Linked DNA regions of Lonchura striata. The protein of the gene in region 2 interacts with the protein of the main gene of each other region in a biochemical or structural test. Links are inferred from orthologs where the notes say so. Each region holds a gene or a part of one and is shown on either strand. Other genes may lie near its edges.

What was found.
Region 1: the proteins of SDCBP (region 2) and FZD7 interact in a biophysical measurement, tested with the Homo sapiens proteins (2 studies listed by IntAct, with this or other methods). The link is inferred for Lonchura striata from reciprocal best matches to the Homo sapiens genes SDCBP and FZD7.
Region 3: the proteins of SDCBP (region 2) and SDC2 form a complex in vitro, tested with the Homo sapiens proteins (3 studies listed by BioGRID and IntAct, with this or other methods). The link is inferred for Lonchura striata from reciprocal best matches to the Homo sapiens genes SDCBP and SDC2.

What each region holds. Positions count from the first base shown.
Region 1 is NC_134610.1:26,829,103-26,838,840, forward strand, and holds FZD7 (frizzled-7), read right to left. Parts: upstream 4,644-9,738; 5' UTR 4,396-4,643; coding exon 2,674-4,395; 3' UTR 733-2,673; downstream 1-732. UniProt on the Homo sapiens protein: Receptor for Wnt proteins.
Region 2 is NC_134603.1:38,157,532-38,167,269, forward strand, and holds the start of SDCBP (syntenin-1), read right to left. Parts: upstream 6,351-9,738; 5' UTR 6,195-6,350; intron 1,828-6,194; 5' UTR 1,797-1,827; coding exon 1,746-1,796; intron 1-1,745. UniProt on the Homo sapiens protein: Multifunctional adapter protein involved in diverse array of functions including trafficking of transmembrane proteins, neuro and immunomodulation, exosome biogenesis, and tumorigenesis.
Region 3 is NC_134603.1:23,338,008-23,347,745, forward strand, and holds the start of SDC2 (syndecan-2), read right to left. Parts: upstream 4,819-9,738; 5' UTR 4,708-4,818; coding exon 4,648-4,707; intron 1-4,647. UniProt on the Homo sapiens protein: Cell surface proteoglycan which regulates dendritic arbor morphogenesis.

The DNA.
Region 1 (9,738 bases), on a different chromosome or scaffold from region 2:
ATCCTTGTGAAAGAAATGCTGTAAAGTATCATTTCATGTGTGTACAATTCTGTTTGTTGCGGCACTTTCCATGACTTTAGCAACACAGCTTGAGATGTAAATATTCATTTCAGTTTAAAAAATTAAATGAAATAGAGCATTCCGCTGAAGCTTTCAGATGACTGTGGTAAGAAACAATGTAGGCTTCAGGCTAGCTATTAAAATTAAAGTAAAATTCACTTGAATAAAACTGCAGAGAGTAAAGGTGCTATGGGAAAAAAAGCACTAGTTCATGATACTGCCCGCTGAAAGCCATTAAAAAGGAACCTAGTCCTTAGCGTTTCCCTATTACACTCCACCCGTCAAAGGAAGAACCTAATTTACAGCCCTCATAGCACCCTCCAGTTCTCAAAGTCTCTGGAATGGGAAGAGAGCATTATCCTTATTTTCTAGATAAAGAAATTGGTTTATCAGCTTGCCCTCAGCAAGAAGCAGAGAGTGGAAGAAAACTTGGCTAGGATGCAAGTACCTCAAGTGAGGGCAGACATTTGAAACCGGCTGTCTCAAAATGTGCTCTCCTATTGTGAGGGGCTGGTAGTTTCAAGTCACAGCTGAGTTTCCAGCCTACATTCACCCAAAAGTCTCTTGCATTATCCATAATGAAGTGGGGGAGAAGACACGACTTTCAGAGCTTCCCCCCATTCTAAAACCTGCCAAGTATTCAAAGATGGAAAAAAAACATCATTAGAGCCCTTGTATTAAAAATTATTTATTTAGTGATCTGTACATGGGGTGAAGCAGGGCCTCATACAGACCTTCAAAAAAAATCAAGTAAAAACATAAATACATATTTTCTTACAAAAATGAGATTTACAAAATATACATACTGCACTTGTCTCACACACTTGTTTTTTGTTTTGTTTTTTTTTTTCTTCCACGTGCACATTAAAAAAGACAAACCAAGCCCTGCAAGTCTGACATCAGAGCTACTGAAGGATTTAGCTGATGGGCCCATTCCTCATGCTCAGACTACTGGTACACCCTCAGACAGCAGTAGTCTGCGCCCTCACCCTGGACAGGTTTTTTCTTTTTAAAGTTTAATTCTAGACACTTCCCCCCCAAAAAACATGAAGAGCAGCTATAGGGTGGAGACTTGCCAAAAATCCAGAATGTCCTATTTTGTCCTTAGGCAAGAATATACACACACACATATACTTATAAAAACAACCCTTCAGTGAATATAAAGGTAAAGTAGTATGCAAAAAATAAAATATGAACAAGTCAACATAAAAATTTTCAGAATAGAAAAATCTGCCACATTTCAAAAAGAAAACAATGCATTTGATGATAAAATTTTTGAATGCTTTTCCTTCAAAGACTGATCACTGGAAACTCAAACAGCTGTGTTTTAGCCAAAATGAGGAGGCTCCTCACTTGCAGTAACTACTTGGTTTTAAACCCCAACCCCAGCCCCCCACCTGCACCAAGAATCATTGCCATGCAGCTCAGGGAATATGAGGAGCAGGCAAAGGGTCCATCGTGAGCCAAAACGATTCCTCCTGTCCCCAGAATCCGGCTGCGTATTGATTTTTTTTCTGCAGTGAGCTCACTGCAAAGCAGGAGAGAAAGCAGGTTTATGGGAAGGAAAGAAAAAAATACTATCTTTACATTACGTATTTTAGTGGCTCTTGTTTTGGCAGGTGCTCTCAGGTAAGCTCTTCTTGCCCTCTAAATCTTGCATTTCCTTCAGCTTAGAAAAGTGACCCATATTGAACGGTAGGAAAACATCCTGCCTCCTCCTTTTTTCATAAAAGGAATGTTTATTTCTGTGAGCTTCTCACATCCAAGGGTGAACCTCAACGACTTCTTTTTGTTAGTTTGCCCATAAAAACCGATCCCATGCTTATGCCTTTCTACATAGAAAACACTTTTGTTTCCCCCTTTGTCTCCTAGAACAAAGGCAAGGGGGAAAAGCCTTCTGCTGAAAAGCAACAAGTCATTTCTTTTCAGGGTGTGGAATAGCAACCCCCTCCTTCCCCACAGCAGCAAGAACAACAGACTGAGAGCCAATTTTTTTACTTAAAAACAATTACAACAATTAGAGGTATCGCTGAGGTAAAAAGGAACTTGTGAGCTGATAGAACAGAGGCATCTCCCCAGCACACGATCGGGCTGTAGCCGGCTGTGCGGTACTCACGTGATGGCTCTGCCGAGCTGGAAGGAGCAGGCAGCCAGCTCAGGCTCGGGAGTTAGCCTGCCCATGCTGCAGTTTGGCCCCGGCAATTCAAAGAGCTTTTGGCTACTTCTTGGCAGGGGTGGCTCAACAGATCTGGCTTCCCCTCTCTCTTGTCCAAAGGAAGGCAGGATGATTTTAGTTGGGTTGGAATTTCTCTTCCTCGAGGAGCAGCAGGAGAGAAGTAAGGAGACTTCTGCGTGAAGGACTCCTGTCCCAGCAGTTGCCTCTTTTTCTGTCCTCTCCCACTTAGCTGCTCATAAGCACCACTGGACGTGGTTTGACTGATCCTTTATGGTATGATTTTTTTTTTTTTCAAATTTTCTGTGAGGAAGAAAAAGTTTGGAAAAGCCTCCCTTCCTCCCTCTTCAGGGAACCATTGCCCTCCCATGCTGAGTATCCGTCTCCTCTGCGTGTATGCTTGTGTGAGAGTGTGTGTGCCAGAGGGGACAGGGGGGGTCTCATACCGCCGTCTCGCCTTTGCTGCCGGTACTGAGTCTGTGGTAGAAGCGTCGCCAGGACTGAAGGGTTTTGCCAGACCAAATCCAGAAGCCAGTCGTGATCCCAACAATCATGGTCATGAGGTACTTGATCATGAAGACAGTGAAGTCTGGGCTCATAGGGGCAAAGTGGCTGGGACAGGGCACAGCATACGTTTTGCAGGTCTGGAGGAGCCATGTCTTCTCCCAGGTGCCACGGAAGGCCTGCTCGTAGAAGTAACACGCCAAGACAATGGTGGCAGGCACTGTGTAAAGGACGCTGAAGACACCAATGCGCACCATCAGCTTCTCCAGTTTCTCCGTCTTGGTGCCATCATGCTTCATGATGGTGCGGATGCGAAACAAGGACACAAAGCCAGCCAGCAAGAAGGAAGTACCAATGAAGAGATACACAAACAACGGTGCCAGCACAAAGCCCCTCAGCGAGTCCACACTATAGATACCTACATAACAAACCCCACTGAGTACATCCCCATCCACCTGCCCCATGGCTAAGATGGTGATGGTTTTGACAGCAGGCACAGCCCAGGCAGCCAGATGAAAATACTGGGAGTTGGCCTCAATGGCCTCATGACCCCACTTCATGCCAGCAGCCAGGAACCAGGTGAGGGACAGGATGACCCACCAGATGGAGCTGGCCATACCGAAGAAGTAAAGGATCATGAAGAGGATGGTGCAGCCTTCTTTCTTGGTGCCTTGGGCCACAGTGCGGTAACCATCCTCAGAGAAGCGCTCTAGACACACGACCCGCTCCTCCAGCAAAAAACCTGCTGCGTAGGCCACGGCGACCATGAAGTAGCAGCCCGAGAGGAAGATGATGGGCCTCTCCGGGTAGCTGAAACGACGCATGTCTACCAGGTAGGTAAGTACGGTGAAGAGGGTGGAGGCACAGCAAAGCACAGACCACACGCCCACCCACAGCCGGGCAAATCGCACTTCTGCCTCCTTGAAGTACATGAGCCCATTGGGCCGGGCTGGCTCACAGGGGGCTCCACAGTCTCGCTCCCCCAGGAACCGGTAGCCCAAGTAAGAGGGCACTTTGAGCTGCCGCGGACAAGAGAAGGAGAAGCCAGAGGGTGGCTGCGGTGGGGTAAGAAAGTCAGGGAGGTAGCCAGCTGTGGGGTGGGCAGTGACCCCCCGACCCGCCGCACCACCAGGTCCTGGTGGGGCATCCGACGTGTTCTGCCCCACGCAGATCTCACCCGCACCGTGAACAGGGAAGTTCTCGCAGCGAAGCCGCTCTGGCCACTGGAAGCCGAACTTGTTCATGAGGGCCTCGCAGCCCTGACGGGCCCGCTCGCAGAGGGAGCGGCAGGGTGGGATGGCCTGCTCCAGCACGGTGCAGACCGGCGCGTACATGGAGCAGAGGAAGAACTTCAGCTCGGGCGAGCACTGCACCTTGACCAGCGGGTAGAACTGGTGCACCTCCAGCCCTGCGTCCTCCTGGTTGGTGTGGCCCAGCAGGTTGGGCAGGATGGTCTGGTTGTAGGCGATATCCGTGCAGAGAGGGATGGAGATGGGCTGGCAGAAACCGTGGTCCGGCACTGAGATGCCCTTCTCGCCGTGGTACTGCTGTGCCGTGGCACCCGCGGGGGTCCCCAGCAGGGCAGCCAGCAGCGCGGCCAGCCCCAGCAAGGGGCAGCCGGCGGCAGCCGCTCCGCCGCATTCTCCTCCAGCCTGCATTGCTGGAACGCGGCTCCGCGCCGGACCTCCACGACTTTTTTCCTCGGCTCCGACGCGGCGGCGCTCACAGAGCGGTAGCGGCGCTACTCTAGGCGAAAGTTTCCGGAGCTGCTCTCCCCGGAGAAGGCAGCAGCGGCGGCGGCGGTAGCAGCGAAACAGGAGACGCGCGTGTAGCCCAGCGACGCTCTGGCCAGCTCCGCGCAGGGTCCCGTGGCGGCGGCGAGGCGGAGGCACTGCTCCCTGCGCGAGTACACGGTCCCGGGGATTTAGGTTACGGCTAAATGGATTATTACCGCGCCCGGCTGAGCCGTATATTTTACTTCAGGGCTTAAATAACTTTCAAAATCCAATTACTGCGCGATCCTCCCCGCGGCTCGGTTGGGCTCCGCTCCCGATGGACACCGCTGCGGGCTGTGCGTCCGAGGTAACCGCGCGCCTCCCGGTTCAGCTCGTTCCGTTTCGCTCCGCCCGCGGCCCCGCCGCCACCGCCCGCTCCGCGGCTCCGGGCCCGCGGCCGCGCCGGCACACAAAAAAGGCGCAGCTCCGCGCGGGCCCCGCCCCCGCCGCCGGCCCCATTCACAAACCGCGCCGGGGGCGGGGCCCGCGGCGCCCGCCCGCCAATCCGCGCGTGGGGGCGGGCCCGCGCTGGGGGAGGGGAGGGGAGGGGAGGAGCTCCCGCCAGGGGGAAAAAAAGTTGGGAACAACTTTTTCCCATCCCCGCCGGGCCGGGCCGGGAGGAGCCGCCCGCGGTCCCCACCCCCCGCGCTGCCCGGCACAGCCGGGAAGGCGGGGGTTTGGGGGGGCAGCTCGCTCAGGGTGGCCCGAGCAAGCTAAAATTAACTGGCTGCTTTCTGAGCAGGCTTTGAAAATGCCAACAGCTGCCTGTGCCCGGAGTTATTAAAAAGGAAGGAAAAAAAAATATAGAGTAAGGGAAAAAACCTCCAAACGCAGCGCCCGAGTACATTTGCAGAACGATCCTATTGCGTAGTTGAGATGTTCGTGTCTGTGTGCCATCTCCTCTCCAGCGTGGGGGGTTCGATTTGTTATCGCAGCATGACCGTTGCTTTTTGCTGGCAGAATAAACGCTTTATTCATGCAGATCTAAGCCCTAGCTGGGGGAAGGCAGCTTTTTTTGAAACGTCCAGTGTTACCTAAGCAAAGAGGAGAAATTTCAAATCCCCATTTGAACTGCTGCGATTCCTTAAGAGACTCAATTAAACAGTGAAAAAACAGGAGTTCCTCTGTGAAAGTACCCTGCCTGCAGGAGAGAAAATGGCATAGGTGGGGAGACCCCTGTTACTGGCCTGCTAGGCTAAGCGGATTCAAGAAATAGACACCAGCATGCATTTGGTAAGGACAGGAATGTGGGGTTTGCAGCATAGCTGTGTTTTGGGGTGCACTGCCAAAGCAGAGAGCTGGGACCATCCAGCCTCTGTGCAAGCAGAGCATGTCTTTGGCAGCACAGAAGGGCTGTGCTTGATAAAAGCTCTGCAGCAAGGCCTGCTTCTGCTTCACTGACCCATGAGAGTTTGTGCTCTCCGATAGGCTCCAAACAAGTATTACTCAACTTACCCCATCATTCCCTTTGAGGACAAAGGTCCTCCTAAATACAGTACTCAAATTCTTACTTTTACTCCTTAGCTCAGGACTGTGCTTCTGTAGCAGCTAAGGAAAGACACCAATCCATACCATCCTCCAGGGCAGTTAAAGAGAGCAGGGTTTGGCTCAGGGAGCTCCAACTGCAATTGTTGGACAAATGTTTTCCATATCCTCTACTGTTCAGGAACAATGTGTCCTCATGCCAGTAAGACCATGGTGCTGCAGCTTTTGTTACATTTCTTAAGAGAATTTGACAGTTATAAACAGGCTTGCTAAAATAAACATACTCCTCTTAATGGAGATATTTTTAAAGATAATACTGTGCATATAAAAAAATACATATGGGAAGGACTAACTAGTCATGGCTGCAACAGTTTCTTCTGGAAAAGAAATGTCTTCTACTTTCTCAGTTATAGCTGTTTAAGAGTGCCTTAGAGGACCTTCACTTTTTCAAAATTTTAAGGCTTTTTGTCAAAATTCCTTGCTTTTCTACCCAAATTGACTAAGAAGATTTTTGTTATACTCTTCACCTAAATAACCACACATGGGATATATTTACATGAATTTGTCTACTCTGTTGTTTGATTTTTGGCCACTGGTAGCTTTCAATAAAATTATTCTTTCCACAGTTTTTTTGGAGGTTTTTGTGGGTTAGAGTTCCTCCTTATCCCTTCTACCCCCCAATCTGTAATAATCACCTTACAGCCTCTCTTTTTCCCTTTGGCTTATATGACTGTCTTCATCTGCAAAACACTTTGTGATATTCTCTGTGAAAAACATTGGATGATATGTTTCACTGGCAGGGAATGACAATGCAGAGAAGATAAAAAACCATCAAACTTTCTGCCCCATGGATTCCTCATTCTGATTTCTGTATGTAAAGAAACAAGTTCAGAGCTAGTAAATTCTATTGCAAGAAACTCCCTCTCAGTAATGGGGATACAGTGACAAGAACTATTCAGAGTAAGGTCAGTCAAATCAAAGGCAAGGCTTTAACTGGACTTTTGTTTACAAGACAGGGCAAACAGCATCAGTGGCTCCCCCAGTTTTCTACTGGTCCCATTTGTTAAAGTCATTCATCCAAACCATGGAATGAACAAAAAGATAACTGGGATCTCTGATACATGCTGTGAAAATGTAGAATGTAGAATCAAAAGTGAAGCAAAAGGGGAAAAAAGTGAAAAGGTAGGCCAAAAGGAAGAAGGATTATGTCCTAGATTATTTCTTAGGGAGAGAAGAAAGTAAATTTATCAGATAGGATGATGCTGCTAGGTCATCCCAGATGTCAGGAATATGCAACATTCAGGAATGTGCAACAGGATTTACTAAGATGGATGAAGTCTCTTGGATATGTTACCAAATTCCATGATCTTTTTTCTGTTTAGACCCATGGGGAAATGGGAAACAATCACAGAGAGAGGCAATGGCAGTTGCCTCAAAATGGCACATTGTGTATAAGAAAACCCCAGACTCTTATATCAGTCTAAAGCATCCTGACAGCTTTCAGAGGACAATAAAGAGAAGGGAGAGAAGGAAAGGAAAGGAAAGGAAAGGAAAGGAAAGGAAAGGAAAGGAAAGGAAAGGAAAGGAAAGGAAAGGAAAGGAAAGGAAAGGAAAGGAAAGGAAAGGAAAGGAAAGGAAAGGAAAGGAAAGGAAAGGAAAGGAAAGGAAAGGAAAGGAAAGGAAAGGAAAGGAAAGGAAAGGAAAGGAAAGGAAAGGAAAGGAAAGGGCAAAATTCATGATTCTGGAACACAGGTTAGTCCAAAAAATCCAGAAACTCTCTAAGTACCATCAGCTACAGTTCAAACGGCAGCCTGCAAAATGACTTAAATTTCCTCACAACAGGAGGAATCCTCATCAGCACAGTAAGCACAGCAGACAGGTTATCAGTCACCCAGAACAAACACACTGCACAAGACTTTGTAGCATCTGACAAGTTGTCTATTGCAACCACAGAGGGTTCAAAAAGTTTTCTCTAAAAATCTTCTAACTGCTAATGGTCTAAATACACTTAGACCATGGTCTGCCAGCAGTAAAGCTTCACAAGCAAAATCCTGCCTAGTCCTAGATTCCAGAATAAATTTAGTCTCCAGTGTTGATACCAGCTCTGGAGCTGTCTGACTAGACTGTGTATAGGGAGGAATTGTTAGGAACAAAAAATTATCTGTCTTTTTACTCATTTAAAAATAAATCCACTTCAACTTCCAAGCTAAGTCAAAGTGAGGAGTGGCATCCCTACATTATGTCTTTTCCTGCCCTTTTAAAGTTTTCTGAGATGGTGCCAATATAATTTTCCTTGTTTCCTATCCCATCTGATAGAAAACTCTTCTCATGGGGGGGAGGGAAATCAAAATAAAACACCTCCTCCTGGCCCCACCACTTATTTTGTGTGCCTAAGGGAGAACATTTTCAGGCTACCTGTTGCAAGGCTTTGAGTCCTCTCTGCCCTCAGAAGAACAAAGGCCATTGCTTCCCCCCTGTCCTTTCCACCCACAGAAACTTGCTGGACCGCACCTCAGTTGACCTCCTGCTAACCAGCACTGCCAAAGTCCCGGTGCCACCATCTGAGCTGTGAGATTTTCCCAGTTACTTTTAGTAAATAACTTTTATGACACTTTTAACCTCTACATTTTGAAGCATGCTTATATACAATCTTACATGATCAGACAGGCTATTGAGCTAAGAACATCAAAATTTGCACTCCCTAAAGCTTAGTGGAGAAGTGCCTGGAGCCTGGGGGAAAATTATGCATTTGTCTATTTTACATAATTATTTGCATAATTAGAAATAAAATAAGTTCACAGTAGTATATCTGCTTGCATTTCTTTCAGTCTGATAGATTAGTCTAAATTGCATCTTGTCGGAGCTCATCAAAGAAATCCAGTCTTTCCGTAGTGAAACGGGAGAGCCTCGTATTTCATGGGCAGGGAGTGAGAAAAGCAAAACCCTGCCCTCCACCACGGAACCTTTAATTTGAAATTAGATGGCAGACATAAGAAACTGATTGAAAAGAGCATATGGGGAGGGCACAGGTGACAAAAGGAAGGGGATGCTGCTGGAGGGGATGTGGCTTCCCACAGCGAGAAAGGTAAAAGCCATTTGCATCACGGATTTATAAAATAATTATTAGTTTATGAAATAGTATCCCAAAGGATACAGGGAAGTAGCACTGTCTTCCACATTTATGGTCACACGGGGGGTGGGGGGGGGGGAACTTTAGGAAGCATTCACCAGGATGAGCTATCAGGCTGATGATTGCCTTTATCTCTACGATCCATGAATAAGAAAACAAAACCTGATCTGTTCATTCCCCCGCTCAGCAGTTCTTGAGGACATCAGTTACATTTTAACCCTTTCATGATACTGTGAAATCCCTTGTTTTTTAAACTGAATTTAATCTGCTTTCTCAGAGGTTTAAGAAGGCCTTTGGTTCCTATAGAACCCATGGAATCCCTCCCTGTGTCAGTTTCTTAGGCTAGGTACCTTTTTAACAAGACAAATTCTCTACTGACAGCACTACTACCAACCAGGCCCTGTCACCATCATGTCTGGGTGCAGTATACTGAAATATGAAGAAAGGAAGATTCCAGAAACAGTTGGAAAAGATGACATTTGTGTCTACTTACTTTGCTTATCCTGTAAATCTTAAATGGTGTTTCTGACCTAGAATGTTGGCTAGGCACTTTCTAGGCTGCTGTAGCTGATTTTGGCCAATTCTTTATACACTGGGATATGTGATATATC
Region 2 (9,738 bases):
TTTAGGAAAACAAAATAATTAAGCTTTTGATGCCAGCAGGTCAAGAAAGGTGTTTCTGCTTCTCTCCTCGGCACCTGGAATGCTATGTCCAGCTCTGGGATCCCCAGCATGAGAAAGACATGAACCTGTTGAAGCAGGTCCCAAAGAAATAATCACAGGAGCACTCAGAAGATGGAACACCTCTCCTACGAGAAAAGGCTGCCAGAGCTGGGGCTGTTTAGCCTGGAGAAGAGAAGGCTCTGGGGAGATCTTACAACAGCCTTCCAATACTAAAGGGGGCTTATAAGAAAGACAGTGGCAGACCTTTTTAGCAGGGCCTATTGCAATGGGACAAGGGATAAAGGTTTTAAACTAAGAGAGGGTCAGATTTAGGTTTAGACCTGATATGAGAAACAAGTTTTTCAAAATGAGGGTGGTAAAGCACTGGAACAGAGGCTGCCCAGAGAGGTGCTAGATCCTTGAAGACATTTATGGCTGGGACATTTAAGGCTCTAAGCAAAGTGATGGAGTTGAATATGTCCCTGCTTTTTGCAGAAGACTTTCACACAAACTATTCAGTGATTCTATGAAAAGTATAAATGAAAATGGAATGGCTTACTGATTACAGTTATGACAATTTTCAACTGTAATATATAAACTCTAGCAGTTGGTCAATAAAAAGCCAAAGGAGCATGTTCTTGGCTCCAGGCTACTCAATTTTTAGTTGAGCACTACCAGACTGTAGATAAAGGACTGTGGTTACATAAGAAGAATGGAGTGGGAGGACACAACAAGGAGAAATCCCATAGCACCCACATAAAAAGAAGCATAGCACCCACAACTTCAAAAGCCCCACCCCACACATATAAACACAGATGAGACAGGGTACTGCTTTTTGGGATATCACAGGGGAGTTAAAAAGCTGTTCTTGTAGTTTGCTTGATTGTTTCCCAATGAAAACAGCAAGGACAGAAGCATCAGACACCTTAAAACACACTATAACGTCTTGCTGTTGTTTAAACCAGGAAGGAATGCAGGTTAAGTTCAGGAAAAGGTAAAATGTTGAAGAAAATAAGGAAACTCCTTGTGAAATACATCCACGTCAAACTTCTCATAGACTTTTTAATCCATTAAAGTGGTTTTCATTATTTTGTTTCACAGACATCTTTTAGTCCCCACCACAGCTAATAAAACTACCAGTATTCTCACACATAATAAAACTACCAATATTCTCACACATAAAATTATCACAAAGGTGATAATTATGGATGTACTGTGAGAACTGGTCACTACCATGAAATAGCCAGAGGACAAATCTGATTCCAAATGGCATTGACACAGCCAGTGCTTTGCTTTTTTTTTTTTTTTTTTTTGTGCTCAATTGACCACAAATCTTTCTGCCACAGATTTGGATACTGAGAATGAGATGCAGCAGAATTATTAGTTTAGTCATCAAGTCAGAGCTGAAGTATGTGAAAAGACTGACTATATTTGTCTACTTAAGACCATGTATCTATACTTCAAAAAACCCAAACACATTAAAGACAAATTAACACGATGAATAGATAAAGCAAAATAAATATATCCAGGTGGTAAAATAAGCATTAATCATATTAGATCAAGCTACAAAGTAAACAGGTTGTCTTTTCCCTTTCAGAGTGAGATGGTAAAACAAGTTCTCAACTACAATACGTCTCCCCTTTCCTGGATTAAATATCAGATACATTATTGTCATCAAAACTCATCTTTTTTTAAGTCCACCATACCTGAATAACTTTGTCCACCTTCAGATCTTCTAGGGAAGGATAGAGAGACATTTTGATGAAGTCCTACTGGGCAGAGGGCAGACTAGAAAAAAATCAAATGGAAGAGCAAACAAACAACAGGATTAGCTTTCAGATAGTTACTGAGTTTAACCCCTTCAATTTTTTTATTTTAAATCAATTAACCAGACTAAGTGTTAAACAAGTATTCTGTGACCTGCCAGTCAGCAGTAAAGATATCTGGCACTACAGATGAATTCCATTAAGACTACCCATTTAATCTGTTATCAATAGCAGCCTTTGGCTAATAGGCTTTATTTAACATACTTAGCACTGTCAAAGTTTAGGTCTCAATGAAGAGAAAACTTACACAGAGAAAAACACTTCACAGGAAGTAAAGAAAGACTTTAGGAGGCCAAGATGCAATTAGGATAAGGGTTAAAAGGGAAAACCTAATCACTCTTGTCCCAACAGGGACAGTATTTTACATTCAACTGTGGAAGCTTCCACTCTATTGTCTAAAATATTTAAACACTTTCAATACTTCTAATATTCCACTGACCTGCTTTTGGCTGGGATAGAGCTAATGTTCTTCCTAATGCCATGTTTTGGATTTAGAATGAGAATATTAATAACACACTAATTGTTTTAGTATAAACTCCTTTTAGCAACAATTAAGTCAAGGGCTTTTCAGTTTCTCATGCCCTACCAGTGAGAAGGCTGGAGAGGCACAAAGAGCTGAGATGGGACACAGCCAGGAGAGCTGACCCAAACTGGCCAAAGGGATACCATGTGGCATCATGCTCAGTATATAAACTGGGGGGAAACCTGGCCAAAGGCACGGGCATTGGTCAGCATGTGGTGAACAGTGGCAATGTGCATCACTCATTTTATATGTACCAACTATTTAAATTCTTTTCTTCCTTTTCTGTCACATTAAACTATCTGATTACATCAACCCATGACTTCTCACTTTACTCTTCTGATTCTCTCCTCCCATCCTGCTAGGGCAGGGGGAATCAGCAAGCAATTTTGTGGTGCTCAGTTTTCAGCTGGAACTAAGTAATGACATCTGACAAGAAGCCACTAGAGAGACCTGGCTTCCCATCTCCATTTGCAACACATTAATTGCAACAAGAGACCTGTATAAACTAAGATGATTCAGTCAGTGGTGAGTTTCAAAACACAGAGATTCCAGGCTGGCTGTCATGTGATGTTCAGAGAGCCCCTGTGACAGCTTATCAGGAAGTAATAAAAAAAAAAAAAAAAAAAAAAAAAAAAAAAAAAAGGGAAAAAAAAACCCCAAACCCTAAGCAAAACCAAAAAAAAAAACACAAAAAAACAAAAAACAAAACAAACAAAACAAACAAACAAACAAACAAAAAAAAACACTTCACATGATATTCTAAGGCACCATGCCAACATCCAGCTCTCCTAGAACCAGTCACCTGAGACTTCTGGAAATCCCATTTTTCCAGAGCTCCTTAACTCACACTCTCACTGAGATCAGCTGAACTTTTGAAACCCACAAAAAAACATTCCACATCAGTATATGGGAACATTTTAGTGAGAGGGATGGAGAGGGACATAACCAGAAGACAATAAAATGTGATACAGTTTTTCAAGTCACAGAAGGTATTGAGAACATTGTTAATACATAAGTTTTATTAAAGTTTTTGGTTTGGGGATTCATTTTCTCATTGAAAGAAAAGAGGTTCTTCTTAAAGTAGCAATTTAGCAAAAATTTGAGACTGAAAGTGACCATCACATAAATCCCTGAGCTATTGCTTCTTTAAGTGCAGATACAAAGTCCATTTCTAAATGAACACCACACACAAAGATGCATAATGTGATACTGCAGTAACACAATAGATATCTCTTCATATTACACTAAATTCATTAACAGCTTTTATGTTTGTTCAGCAGTGCCCAATAGCTCCAGCATCATGTCAAACTGCAATTAAAACTTAAAAAAAGCATGCTCTAAATGTGCCAGAGATCTAAACTGTAAACACATGGTCTGTTATATTACAATAATTAATTGCCTTGACTTTTTTGATTAACTGTTGCAAGTCTACCAAGCATAGTTAAAGCCTGAAAACTATCAATTAAACACATGCATTTAAGGTCAGTTTGAAGTTCTGTTTTAATCCAGCATCGACCTGAAACTATGAAATGCTTTTGCTCATCCAGAATGGCTAATAGCAAACATAAGCCAAAGCTCTTGGTCAGGTAAGTGGTTCCTGGATCCTCCATTCTGCCACTCACACAAGTCAAGGTACACACAGCATCAAACTCGGCATCTCCTTCTGTGCTACAGCAGCCCTGGTAGATTCAGGTGCTGGTCCCAGCACTGGCACATGTTCAAAGTCAGCACAACCTTGGCAGCGGGCAGCAAAAGAGGGCAGGCCAAGGACAGTGTGTTCCCAAGGAGTCACCCCATGGCAGGGCGACGAGGGATGCAACAGCAGCACTTTGCAGGTGGTGATCCTAGTATCCACAGAGCTCCAGAGATCAGCACAGAGACTGCCAGGTCCCCTGCCCCAGTGACCAACTTCCATAGAGCACCCTGGCCAGCTTTATTTCTCCTCCACAGATCAGTCTCTGCAAACAGTAACTTGTCACAGACAGCGTCAGTCAACCTTCCACCAGTTTATAAAGAGGAGCACAGTGCTTTCTGTAGAAAAGCATTAGCAAAGCTAAACTTATACTACTGTTCAGATTACATTAGAGAACACTCCAGAAGTTTATCCTGCCCCTTGACAACCCCCTCAGCCTCCCCTCCCCAGCAAAGGGTTAACAAACCCAAGTGTTTGTCACCAAGGTTCTGCTGGGGTGGCTCCCCCATCATAAACTCACCAGTTCCTGGTTTTGGTTTTCCAACTAAATTAGCTAGAGTAGCAGTCACCACTGTAATTGCATTCAGTGAGCTCATAACTTTGCATATGGTAACACAGATACCCTATGTTAGATAGTGTGAGAGCCACAAAAATATTATATTTAGTTTAAAAAAGATTTCTAAGTAAAAATTGACACCATCAGGGACCACCCTTAATTGCAGGAAGAACTTGTCCACGACTTCTGTCCAGTGTTCTTCATAGTATAAACATGAATTTCAGCTGGTGCTGTAACGGCTTTAAGCATTAGGGAGTGGATACCACAAATCATGAGTCACTACAACCTCCTCTTCTCTCTTAAAAATCTACACCAACATCAGAATCACTTTCCCCAGTCATTTCCACACTTGCACATACTGTGAGGAGACCAAGCGTTTAGGGACGTAGAAATGAAAACAAAAGGATGGGCATGGGCTGTAACTCAGCTGGCGACCCACAAAACCTGGCAGTAAAGACCTCGCCCCCCTCTCCAGTACACTTGGCTGGAAAGTCGGGCCCTCCTGCCAGCACGTCCCACTAAGGAGATCCTGTTTGCCAGAGGGAAGTACCGGGGCACGGATCGGAGAAGCATGAAAGGCGTCACTCGTGACACCCTGAGCCTGCCAGCAGGAAGTCTCGAAGGTGGGAGTGATCCCGAACTGCTTTCGGTGGCCTTCCTGGGAGGAGACGGCTTCCCGACTCATTCTTCAGGTCGGAAAGTATGAACGCCAACACAGGATGGCCCTGCTAAACCCCAATCTGGCCAGCCTGTAGTGACTGCTGTTTTTTAAAATACCAGCAGCCAAAACTGTGGGAGGGGGCAAACAAACCAAAACAAAACCCCGCCACCCCCCCTCCCCGTATGTTTTCCTCCTGTAGCCCGTGGAAAAAGTACAGCAGGTAACAATGTTGGCAACTATAATGGAACATTGGTTCCCACTTCCAAAAATTAGAAGCTTATGAGCCCCGAAATTCATGTTTAAAGCAGACCGAGGACAACACTTCCCGAAGGTCAGTCAGGCTGAGACATCACGAACCGAGGAGCGGTTTCGTAAGACACGTTCTCCATTAGTAACTCAGCATTCGCCTTCTGATACATATCTAATTAGCCTGGGAGCAAGTGCCCTCATTATGCGCTCAGCTCCGAAACCTGCTGCCTCCATTTCAGCCCTGAAGCAGGGCTGGCCTGCCTGAGAAGGCCCGTGGTGTCACTGCACCGCCGCAGCACCTCTCGGCCCGTCAAAGAGAATTGAGACAAACGCCCGAGCCCGCGGGCGCTGCGGAGCCCCAGCGAGGGCCCAGAAGGCGCTCCAAAGGCGAGGGCCGCGCACGGACGGTCGCACAGGGCGGCCTCATCCCCCTGCTCTCCCCGTCCGGGGCCGGCAGCGCCCCGCGCCCGGCTGAAGCCTTGCCCCGGCCGGCTGCGGGGAGCGGCGGCCCCGCGGCTGGAGCGGCGCCCACACCGCCCTCGCAGCGGCACGGCCGGGCCGCCGGCGCCCCCTCCCCGCCCCGCCATGCCCGCCCGCGGAGCGCACAAAGGGCGGCGGGGAGCGGACCCGCCCGGCCCCTCGCTCACCTCCGGCCCAGCGGGTGCTGGCTGCCGTCCGCCGGGGCTCGCAGCACGGAGAGGGGCGCGGGGGCGGCTCCCCTGGATGCCGCAGCGGCTCCCCCGGATGCCGGCAGCGCCGCTGCGAAGGGAGCGGGGCGGCGCGGAACTGGCCCGGCCCCGCGCATGCCCGGGCGGCGGCGGGGAAGGGGTCGCGGCCGCCCGGGCCGGGTTTGGCTGCCCGCGGCTGCGGGGCGGCGGTGTCCCGCTCCCCTCTGGCCGCTTGTTTCACGAAGAATCTTGGAATCATCAAAGTTGGAAGGGGTCGCGGCCGCCCGGGCCGGGTTTGGCTGCCCGCGGCTGCGGGGCGGCGGTGCCCCGCTCCCCTCTGGCCGCTTGTTTCACGAAGAATCTTGGAATCATCAAAGTTGGAAGAGATCTTCAACATCATCCAGACCATCCGTCTACCTGGCACTATCGCTGTAACCAGTCGACCACATCACCCAGCGCCAGATCCAGACGCCTCTTAACCACCTCCAGGGATGCTGATTCCACCACCTCCCTGAACAACTTGTCAGGAAAACTAATCCACAAACATCAGAGCTTTATGTCCAAAAAGGAGACAGAGGAGTCCATTTACGTTATTCGAATAAAGGGAGAGGTCATGGGACATTCCCCAGGGGTATCTCAAATTTTTGGTTGATGCAGCCTCCTTTTTTATACTATTTTCCCGGCCACATTTCCCTTCTCTCTTTCCCCATTGGCTGAGGTACTTGAGAGGTACAGAGTTCCCGATACGCCTGATACCAAAGATTTCCCTCTAATGTATAACCCTCCCTTTTAATTTTTAATTCTTACGGGATTTAGGGGTTTTTCCCTTTGTTTCTTTCATTTTTCAATGTCTAATTTCATTTATCAGCAAACCTAGAGCTTATTGGTAAAAGCAAATATCCTTTTCCATTCATCAGTCAGTGGAATCCTTCCCATTGTTTTTTTTTTATCTCTCAGTGCTAGTTTTATCTACTAGCAGACCAACAGCTTGTTTGTAAAGACAAATCCACTATTCCTCTCAAACCCATTCCAGTGCCTGACCACTTGTACAGTGAAAAAAAAAAAAAAATATATATATATATATATAAGTGTCTGAGTCTTCCCTGTTTTAGTTTAAGGCCATTTGCTCTGGTCCCCTCACTGCAACGACAGCAGGAGAGATTGGCCTTCACTTCAGCGTAACTTCCAATCATGGAACTGTAGAGAGTGATCAATCTCCCCCTGAGATTTCTTTGTTTTTGTAGGGCCTTAGACTCATTTGTGTGCCTTTATTAGTTGATAGTTGCTGTCCTCATGGAGAAAAAGTATGATTTTCTGCTCATTTTCCTTTTTTTTTTTTCTGCTGTAATAAAGCACACTCCACTAACGGCCTCGTGTCTGCCTTGTTCTGCATGTCTGCCATGGATGGGCAAGCTGTGACACATCAGAGCCAGAGTGGACCACATCACCTGTCCCACGGTCCAGCACCTGCCTGAGCCTTCTCCCACGGGCAGGCATCAGAAGCAGAGCTTTTATCCTGGAGAGGCTTCCCTGCAGAAACCATGATGTAAAGTGTACCAGCAACAGAGAAATCCCAGAACAAGCTCGGAAAGAGGTTTTCATAAATCAATTACCATAATTACCTGCCTTTGCCTTATTTAGAGTATGAACTAATCTAGCATCAATTTTTGGTCTTCCCTTCTTCATTACAATTCTTTGCCTGTTGTCAAATATTGTTCATCACACAGACAATTAAATGTGCTGAGTGCCCTAGAGCTTCTCTTCACCTAGGAAGAGCATTCAGTAGAGGTATTGAGCAGTCTTCCAGCACCTAGGCAGGAGGTCTGCTCCCACCTACGGTTTCTTTCTCCTGCCCTCAGCCAGTTCCAGCAGTTGCTGAGCTCTTCTGAGAGAAAGCTTAACTCATTTCTCCACCAAAAAACATGGATGCTTTTCTGCTGGTTAGTGAGCCATACTGGCAATAAAAGGCTCTCTCAAGCACAAGCATGAGCCAGAGCAAGGGAGTGTGTGCTGGAAACAGGAGAAAGGAGGAAGCAGGAGAAATGGGAATGAGAGGGAAGGTTGTTTTGATCCACTCTGGCACTAACAGGCTTTTTCATCATTTGAGCACAATAATAGCCTTAGTTAAGCTAAACAGAAACTTTGTTACAATGTATATTTTTCTGTTGTTGTTGCAGTGTATTTTCCAGTTCTTGATTCTCTCCAGCTGCCAGCATCTTTGGTGAGCACCACAGGGGCTGGGGTAGTAACTGCAGCAGTGCTGAATACAGAGGAACAGCAACTCTCTGGCTGCTCAGGAGGCTCCTGTTTCTATATCCAATATTCAGCCAGACCTGGAACCTTCCTGAATGCCACTACCTGAACCATTGGCTGCTGAGTCATGCAGCTATGGGTCATTAAATATATGTGAAGTGAAATCTTAGGTTTAGGGTATAAGTTCACAAAAATCCTGTATTACAAGTCTTCTGGGCCAGGAGGAAGGGAGGGAATCTACCTCTAGTTTAATAATGACCAATGATTACGTCTTTAGAAGTGCTAAATTTTCTATGTAGCCAAAGGAGATTTTAACATAAGTGCAGTGAAAGTTTTAAAACTGTGCTCAAAGTGTTCCACTCTTCATCCTGAAATGAGGTCAGTGTAGTAAAGGCCTGGACCCACCCTGAAGAACAAAGACACTGTGGTATTCATGTAGCATGGAAATTGCAGGTGTGTGACTGACAGTTTTCCAGTGCAATCCTGCTGGGTGCCAGTGCTGACAACTGAAGGATAGTGTTTTCTTTTAGTTTGATGTTGAATGCTCCTCTCATTGCAAAGAGCTTTCTTCTCTCTAGAAAGCTAGGTTGTTATTTGCTGTTTTCTGCATTACTTTATCTCTTTGTGGTCTTTCAAGATAGCCTGCTGTAATCCAGGGCAGAGCTTTTTCCAGTGGGTATCTGACTTGCACTGTCAGTGCACCCTCCCTGATCTTACCCATGAGACTGTAATGGATGCTCATTTTCTTTATCATGATGTCCTAGCCCAAATAGTTGGTTCCATGTGGTTTATTACTTTTTGAGCATGCCATGTGTGCCCTATTGCAGGTATATAATCTAAGAGCAAACATGGTCCAAGTTATGGGCAGTAGCTCTGGCACCATGTCCACCTGCAGGACATCCACCTTGGTATCAAAAGTGAATCATCCTCATCTCCCAATGTATTGTGAAACATGATTTCAATAAAGATTTTGAAAAACTGCATAAGGCTGTTTCTTCTTGCTTAAGAACAGCTATTGGGAGAGAGAGTATACTTTTGTACTGAAAAGCTTTCTCAATTTCTCAAAAAAAACAAAGCTTTGTTCATTTAAATATAGGAACAAAACATAATAAACCAGAAAGATAATTGCTGAAAAATGGGTATGTCTAATCTATGCAGTTCAGCATGTCTCAGGGTCCTCATCCTTTAAACACACAGACCAAAGACAATTCCAGCCACTTGTCTAATCTCGTTTCTTTCCCAGGGAAACCAAATTTTGGAAGGGGGTGCC
Region 3 (9,738 bases), about 15 Mb from region 2:
CGGCGAAGTGACTTGAATGTGGACCAAATCTCTTGCTCATGACTTGTGCATCCTCTCTCAAATGCAGCAGCACAGAGGGCATCTTTATGATTCAGATTCAAATAGGGTGTTACACGAGGCCTCAAATAAGCTTGCCAATCTCAAACACAACATTTATGTTAAAAATCATAGTCTGTCAAATCTATTCATAAGACAAAAGAGCACTTCTTCATAACTAGACAAGAGCTCTTTGTTCAGCCATTGAGCCTTACTAAAGCCTGCAATTCTCTACCATAAGCAAGATGTTTAAATTGCTCAATGGCAAAAGTCAATTTGGTGAGAAAATGTAATGAATAAATGCCATCCACATGCCTATGTTTGACATTTTATAAAGACAAGTTGCCACAAAGAGCAGTGCCAATGGAGAACTCTGCAAATGACTGGCTCCTCAGTAGGGTCTTCTCCAAGCTCAAGAAGCACTGCCAAAATGCCACATTCCCCACCAAGGATGGCAGGCAGCTCTCCATCATCCACCCCACCCTCCCAGAGGCATTAGATCATGGCTGCATGTTTGACATGTGACTTCTCATAACCTGCACCTCTACTAGTCAAAAAATTAGTCCTTTATCTTGTCATCCTGCAATTACACTTAATTTAGGACTACAGAAACTTAGATCCATCCAATTTCCAAGCAAATTCCAAACTTAATGCACACTCTCCGAAGTCTACCATCTTTATTCCATTAGCTATAGTAACTACCTCAAACCTTCCACAGAGGTGTTATCTGCTCAAGAACCACAATACCAGCACCCAACTTCAAATCCTAAGATATTTGTCCTGACTTGCTCCTGAAGATGATACTCTCATATACTTCCTTGATAAGGATCTAGGAAAAAATGCAGAGAAAACATCTCTGCACTTCAGGCCTCAATACTAAATCAGTTCTAATGCAAACCTCAGGGCTAAGATATTAAAAGAAGGAACTTCAGTGTTTGATCTGGGGTCAAGATTCATCTGTTCTTTAATTTTTAAATTATAATCTAACCTGGGACAGAAACCGATTTCCAAAAAGTGGCTCCTGAGAACACCCAAGACTGGTAGCAAATCCCAGAATTTCCAGTGCATGGCAGTGCAGGGAGAACCCAGAAGTTCAGTCAGAGCAAGGGAAGCAGACATAGCAGATTCCAGGTATTACCAAACCACAAAAAGCAATGGATGAACAGTTATTAATTCTACAGTGAGAAGAAAAGGTACATGTGAATTGGAGGTGGGTAGAAATAAAGACTGAAAAGACTTCCTTCCTTCACTGGAACTTATTTGACAAAGCAAATTTAAGACAGATAGGAGAGACACATACAGCATATAAATCTATCATATACCAGCTATCTCTTCAGCCCTTTTTTTCCACTACTTACTACCTCTGAATATAACTGCCTTTTTCAAAAAAACAGTCCTTCTCTCCAACACACTATCAATTTTCCAAATTCCAAAACCAAAGTAACCATTAGAAACAAAGGTAGGAAAACTACAGCATTACGATTCTCAAATACTATATACTTCTGAAAAATATACCAAGTATCACCCTTGGATCATCTTCCAATGATTATATTTATGCCAACAACTCAGCAGTCATATGCTTACACAAGAAACCGAAAGGTCACTCAGGTGATGCCCCAATGCTCTGTTTCACTGAAAGTCCCAAATCTAGCCCCACATGCATGTATGGATGATGTGAAGCAGTCTCCAGACTCCAAAAGCTTCCCGGGGAGAGATGGACTCAACCTTCTGTGAGAAGAGCAGCACCGTAACACTGCAGTATGCAACACAACCTGCTAGCCAGCAAAGTTTCTCAATGTGCACTTGGGCATGCAGAGAGGATCTGACTGTCACACAAGCTCTGGAAAACCATTCGTCCCACTGCTGCAAACTAGAACGAAACGGAAACATTTATCAGCCTCTTCTGAATGGGACCTGACAACTACAGCTGGATACTTGGCACTGCTCTCTGGTGCTATTAAAATCAGCAAAAGCTGGCTCCCAATATCATCAGGGCTCAGGGGCTCAACCTTTTAAAAGGTGCATCAGGCCTCTCACTCAGTTTTCTTTTTCTTTCCAACAGTTTCATGTCACTGTCTTTCCCTCTCTTATAAGCAAACGAAGAAACTTTCAAGGTAGCTAGAAAACACATTTTTTGCCATTCAGCCAAGCCTGGGTGTATGCCCCATGTCCTTTGGGACCCACATAGGTTAACAGAACCCACTGTAATCTGACATCTCACTGCACACTGCGCTGATGGCAGCAAACCACTCCTCAAGCCCCAGCTGCAATCCACCAGCTTTGGTGCGGTAACACTTGCCACCATGTGCAGGCTGGCACTAGCAGGTTGGGCTCCCTCTCTCGCTCTCCATCTCAGCCCTGTCCCAAAGCAGCTGCTCCCCGAGGGAGCTGGCATGGCACGGCAGAGCACAGCTGCGGCACGACAGCCCACACAGCGCACAGAGCACGCACCCAGCACCGACAAACCACTCCCGTCGTCCTTCGGCGGCAGGTCTCACTTCCAGGACATTCTTAACACAGTGCTAACATCTCCTTGGCCCACCCCAATAAAAGTGTTGGTTGGTGATGCGGACCAAACACAGGGAATTCATTGCTTTAAGAAACAAAATCTCCTGCAGCTTCCTGCTCCTCTGCTCAGAAGACTCATGGAATTAACTTCATCAGAAACAAGATTTTTACCTTATAGTTTTGTCTAAATAATGATAATAAATAGTAGAATCTAAAAACATGAAGAAATTTAGAGCTAAATCCATTTGACAGTGGTCTGGAGAGCTGGGAGGGTTTTTTAAAGCATCCATATAGAATTCCTCTTGTGACAAGGACAGACTTCTGCAGAGAACACAGACTGTCTTTTCCCAGAGACTGGTCTACAAAATCCTATCTTAAGGGACCATGAAGCTGCTGCCAGGTGCAGTTAAAGGAAAAAGAAGGGAGATGAAAGAAAAGGAAAAAGACCAACCTCCTTTTACTTTTTCAGCCCCTCCACAACTTTCTGGCAGCAGTAAGGACGCTGCAGCACAGCCAGGCAGGTTCCCCCCACCTCGCTCTCCCCACTGCCCCCTGAACCACACCGCACGGGGATGTGCCCCAACAACCCACCTCACACTGCCACAGTCTGTTCATCCTAAGGCAAAAACCCATCAAACTTAATACTCTGCTAATTACTGTGGCAGTTTAATAGCTACTCCACCGTCAGAGAACTTCGTACTAACAGCATTTCTATAAAATTAAAGGATATTGTAGCTCATTAGGCAAGGGTGTTTCTGCAGCACAGTTATACTTACCGGAAACAAAGGTCAGTGTTCTACCCAACCCTTTTTTAATCAGTCTTTAAGAAAGTGTTTTGCCATTGTACCCTTAGAAATCCCTAATGGTGAGCCAGATTTTATGAAGGCTGTGACTTGGCTAATTTATACAACAGCTAGAGAACTTCAAAAGTTAACCCAAGCTAGTGACGTTATTTAGTTCAGTGAAGCGGCTCATTTTAATTGGATTAAATTGTCTTTTTCTTTCTTTTTATTTCATATTGAAACCTCAGTTTATAATTTCCTAATATTTGCCCAAACACTGCATTATTGTCATTGTGCATACTCCTTCCCTCAAGACAAGCTCAGATCCACAGATGGAAAAGACCAAAACCCTCTGGCCGGTCCTCGCCGGCTCCTGCCACGAAAGGGTGGGAGGTTCGCCAGAGAGAGGCTTTCCCAGAGGTACAAATCCCAGCAACAGAGCTAATTGCATTAAGCACAGGGCCCGGTTAGCGAACACACTCGTGGCACGGAAAAAGTGTAAACAGCAGCATTATCCCGAGCAGCTCGCGAGCTACACGGGGAAGGGCGGCCGGGTGCGCAGTAGGCTCGGGCTCCACGGAGCCGGGACCGGCGGCTGGCCGGGAAGCCCGCAAGGCGATCTGCCCGAGGGGTCTGGGAGGTCCTGAGCAGCGCAGCAGGGTTTGCTGCCTTTTTTTCTCTTTTTAGCCACGGGCCGTGAGGAGTGGATTTTGCAAGGGACGCCCCCGCCGCACGGCCCGCGAAGCCGGGGAGGCGGCGATGTCCCCGGGCGCTCGCTCGGACACGGGGCGGCCCGGCGGCTCCCGGCGCTGCTGCGGGACGGGCTTCAAGTCCCCGCTGCCGGACCCAGCCCCGCGCCGCGGCCCCGCGGCCGCCCCTCCTCCGGAGAGGCAGGGAGAGAGGCACCGGGGGGGCTCCGGGGCCGGCTGGCGGCTGGGTCACCGCGGCAAACTTCGGCCGAGGTTCGCTGGAGGGCGGCACGGTGCTCCGCTGCGGCAGGGTGGTCCTCTCGGCTTCGTGAGGGTGTTCTGGGTTTTGTTGTTTCTTGGGTTTTTTTTTGGGGGGGGGGTTGGGGTTTTTTCTTTTTTGGGAGGAGGGAAGGGGGTGTCTCTCATTCTTTTTTTGGTGGGTGGGACGGAATGGTGCCTGCCATTTGCAGACCGCTCAACTAGCAACAGATGCCCCCCCGAGCCAGCCCAGCGCCCCGCGGACGGCGATGCAACGGGGCAAGCCTCGGGCTGCGCGCCCCGCGCTTGGCTGCCGCAGCCGAGGCGGCCGCCCTCGTCCCGTCCCGTCCCCTCCCCTCTGCCCCGGCACTCACCGGCTGCCCGGAGGCGCAGGCCACGAAGCTGACGGTGAGCGCCAGCCACACGCCCCGCATTATTCCCGCGGAGCCGGCGCGGCGGCCGCCGGGGGCCGGGCACAAAGGAGAAACCGGGGGCCGGCGGCGCTCGGCAGCGCCCGAGGGGCGCGGGGCAGGGCCGGTGGCGCCCCGGGTCCCCGCCGCGCTCCTGCCGGGGGCTCCGCGCTCCGCTCCGGCGGGCCCGGTGCTCGCGGCGCTGGGGCGCGCGGGCTGCAGGCTGCGCGCTGCCGGCTCCGCCGCCCTCCCTCCGCCCCGAGTGCGCGGCGGCGGCGCCGCGGCTCCCAGTTAAACCCCGCAGAAATTCCTGCAGGATTACAACACAGATTGGCAGCTCCCCCAGCCAGTGGAAAGAAGCAGCGCGCCGCCACCGCCGGCTCTCGCCCCTCGCAAATTCAAGCAACTTTCCCCCCCCTCCCTCCTCCTCCTCTCTCTCCTCCGCCCTCGTCTCCCCTCTGTCGTTCTTTTCCCCCGCCCCAGTGGAAAACATGAGCAGCGCCGCGGACCGACTGGACCGACTAAGGGAAGGCTGGCCCCGTATAAAATCGGGGACGTGGAAAGGCTCCCCCTAAGCAAGAGAAATCCGGCCGCGTGTTTTTAGCGCTGTGCTGCCGGGGTTCGCACCGCTGCTCCGCGCCACCCTCCTCGGGAAGCCTCGGTGGCAGCTTCAAGTGTCAGGAAAAAAGCAAAATGGAGGGGTCAAAAATCACGGGAAGCGGGGCTATCCCGAAAATGCCAGCTCATTGTGAATCCCTTAGCTTTTTGCCTCGGGTTTCATTTTTTTTTAGCGTTTCCGCCCCCAGCAAGAATACTAGAAACTTTTAAGGGTGAGGGGCGGCGAAGTCAGAAAGGGCTGCGATTTGTAGCTAGTTACATGGATCCAGAAGCTATGTCTTCAAAATAAATATTACAAGAATTGACAGCACCAAGAATGTGTGCTCCAGAAGCCAAAACAAGAAGTCTTGCTACAACTAGTCCATGGTATTTCTCAACTGGGGAGAATGGTGCTTTTGCAGAGCTCAGGAGCCTCAGCCCGATCCCCTCGCATATGCCAGCACGTTTCCACCACTGAACGTGTACTCACATGATATCAGTCATTGGACATGGGAAAGGAGCAATAACCAGGAAAGCAAAATATATCAGTCTCACTTGCAAACTCGACTGGCGATTTAAGTCAGAAGGTAGCAAACAGTGTTTTATAGCCTGAATCAAATGGTCACAAGGACCATAATGGTCTCTTTTGTTTGAGCAAAATCCATCTCTCTCAGAGGACCTGGGTCCCGGTGAGGGCAACAAAAGCCCAGGGAGAAACCCTGGGGAGATGTTTTTCCCGGGAAGATGTTTTTCCATGCCCTTCACTTTGCTTACCCTGTGCTCTGTGAAGAACTTTGGCCAACGGGTTGTGTTGAGATCCCAACTGCCGGCCTTTGCCAATCTGGTTGCCTTCCTGTCAAAATAGGCGTGCCACGTAAGAAAATAAAATAATCTGGCACAAGCAGTGTCTCACCCCACTCATCACTTTCCCAGCCTCTCCCAGGCAAACACAACCCTAGCGATCCCTGTGCAGTGTGGGCGCAGTGGCTGAGTCTGTGCTGGGAAACAGCAGGACCCTTCTCCTCAGAGAGGGGCTGGCCATGCCTGGACTGCTTTTACTGTGTGCGACCCGCTCCCAGGAACGTGATACCTCTCGGCAGTTACCACACTTGCTACTTCTAGATCCACCTTCTGGACATGCCATGTCATTGATTTTTAGGCTGCATTCCCCACTGCAATCCTACCAGATTTTCAGTGGTCTTTTCCTTGTTGGCGTCACACACACAGATTGTTTAATGTGTTCCTTATATTAAACAGATTGCTTAATATAATCTTTCTCCTTCAAAGTATGTTGCGAATACTTAAGACCTAATTCTGTGTATCCTCTTCCTTTGTAGGCAGCCAGATTTCAAGTCGACTAAGCAACAATTTGAGCATTGTTAGATGTGGGTGAGTGAAGTACAGTGAAGCAAAGTGAGCAAAACTCCATTTGGGCAAAATCTCACATAGGATCTCATGGGGTCTTACAGGCAGCCCAGTGTGCAGGGAGGGGAGAGATGAAGAGGTTGCAGCTTGCAAAGAAGAAACAGAAAAAGCATTCCTTAACAGTAGGAAAACAACATCACTTTTGAAACAAATAACATAAAAGAGCAAATGTGAAGACAAAGACACTGCATATGGGAAGCATCCTAAGGGTCACCAGACACCAAAGGGCAGGTGATTTACTACATGAGGGTATTTATTTTAGCATTCTTGGACATTTTTTTTAGCATTCTTTAACAGGCATGTCTTTTAACTTACAAACCAAGCTCAGCTTTATTTCTATGTAAAAATGCATGATTATCAGGGTTTTACATACTTGGCAGAATCTATCACAGATCGAAATACCATCTGCAACAAGCAAAGAGAAGGCCTTCCTTAGGCATAGATGATGGCAACAAGTGGGCTCCTCGTGGTCCACCAGTGTACTTATGGGCAGTGTTCTTGAAGGAGCTGGGGCTACGACCTGCAAAACCTCCAGATCCTTAAGCCTCTGTGGGGATGATGTCTGATGCCAAATATGAAGATAGACACAACACATTAATGCTAGAAGGAGCAGAACTAAAGACCAGAAGCCAGACAGATTATTTGAAAATATAGAAATGAGCATGAGAATTAAAAAATAGTAAGCTATTAACCCTTGTAGTTCACAGACATAACAAAATATTGTCCTGTATTTTGCTTACTCCCTCCCCACTCTTCTGAGTCTTCTATCTGAGAGCACCATACAGCATTAAGAGCCCACATGTGGTCGCATGGAGAAGTAGCTGCAGGCCTGGGCATTTCTTACACAGACTGTCAGGCAGTGTTCACCGTGTTGCCTTTGTGTCACCCTGGGTCCCTCCAGCCCTGCAGGGCACAAGCCACCCAGTCACCACACCAACATTGAGTCAAACCAGGCAGGAGTGGGATTCAGGTGAGATTAAGGGACAAACTTCAACAAAGGCCATTTTTTTCCCCCAAAATATGTTATATGGTGAAAGGATGCAAGAAGATCTCATGTATAGCGTGTGCTGTGGGGCTATCAACTACAGAAGACTCAGATGTCCAACAAATTTGAAAATACAGTTTTCAGTCTCTCCCAAGGAGAGAGTTACTGGAATTGTAGGGAAGAGTCATAGTTAGAAATACATGGGAACTGTGCAAAAAGTAAGTTGGGAAATCTTGGGAATAAGTTTTCAGCCTATGGCTGCCAAGGCACCAATTGAGGATGAATGTGTATCACAATTTTCTGAGTGCTTCCCAAGCATTCATTTTTTCATGGCCAATCCTGCAGGTGACTTGCACAACCAGCAGCACTAAGGAAAGAGATCTACATGGGGAGGAGAGTTCCTAATCATGCCATTTCTCCATTAAGATTTGTTTGGTAATAGAAGTTGTGGTTGAGAACGTTTGACCCAAAGCACGGCCCTGGGCCTCACACTGCAGTGGGTGACAAGGTGGTGTTGACCAGAGCTGTTCGTTATGTAAATGGCTGATTTGTTGTATTTGTTGTATTTGACTGGTTGTATTTGTGTCCAGACAGGGTAGCATTGGCATCACATTCAAAGATCATAAGAGATGGTAAATTTTCTCAAATTATTCAAAGAGAGACAGAAAAGGAAAAATACAGCTGACCTTAAATCTGTTTGAAGCCACACTGACAATGACCTGAAAAAAACTTGGTAAAATGTGTTGGTAGGACAGTTTAAAGAGGTTTATTACCACATCCCCAAACTCCTAAATTTTATGCTTCTAACTTAAGAACAACAGAACTGCTCATCTCTTCTATAAAAATATTTTAAAGTAATATTCTTCTATGTAATATTTTAAAATGCAGTTGTGTTCATTTCTTTAGTATAATCTGAATTCAGGGATGTGGTAGAATGGGACTGGTACTCATGGGGTCATTGAACCACAGGAGAGGTGCCAGCAATTTTTGGTAACACATCCATGAAAGATTCTTTTCTGCATCAGTTTTTAACAGTGTAATTACATGAACATGCATCCTTCCTCAATAGGCTCTTGTTCTAAAGGGGAATTCTTCTGAGCACCCCCAATATACCTTAGGACATGCTTGCTTCTCTTTGATCCAGAGGCCTCTTTTGCTATACAGTTTCTGAATTATAGACATATGCAGGTTATTTAATTTTTATTGTATCTATAGTTTATTTGGGTTAGATATGAAGTTCAAAACATGTCTGCGCAAAACCAGGCATCCCTGATAGCTGAATCAACAGCGCAGCAGGAGCTAAGGGCATTGCTGAGCAGCCAGTGCTTGTTGTGTCTGCTGTGGCACCTCTGGGCTGCACATCTGGACTGTATGGGGTTTATAATGAAAGGCTTTATATGAATGCAGCAGAAAGTCGGAGCATGGCCTGCAACAGCTGACAACAGAAACATGCAGCTGACAAAACTTTATTTTGTTCATTTTTCATAGACAAGTGTAGTGGTAGGGAGACATAATAAGAAAATAAAAGGTTGGCATTAAAGGCAGAGCACAAGCAGCAGCCTCCTACGAGATGGTGGGTTGGGTGAAACGGTCCAGAAGTGGCCTGCACACGGGGCTGCTTTGTGTTTGTCACTCTGCAACAAAGGGAGTGAGTATCCACACAGAGACAGAGATGTGCACCTGGGCTGGGGGCTTTGCTCCAATGAGGGGATGCAGGGGGGTGTGCAGGGCAGCAGGGGGATCTGGAATCATCTGTGCTCACTGAGAATGGTGTCAGCCAACCTTCCAGCAGAGCTTCTTTCAGAAAGTCTTGACCCCTACCTAGAGGGGAACATCTGAACCAGTCATTAATCCAGATTCAAAGATGGTCTTTACACCTGGCATTAAAGTCTAACTTTACTCCTGGAGTAAGGCTCATCCCCTGCCATTCAGCAACTCGCTGAATCTTTTAAATGTAAATATCCCAAGAGCCCATGGCAAATATCCCATGCCCCAAGTGCCTTGCTGATTTAAGAATCTCTTTTCCAGGGTAGGTGCCTACTAAGAAC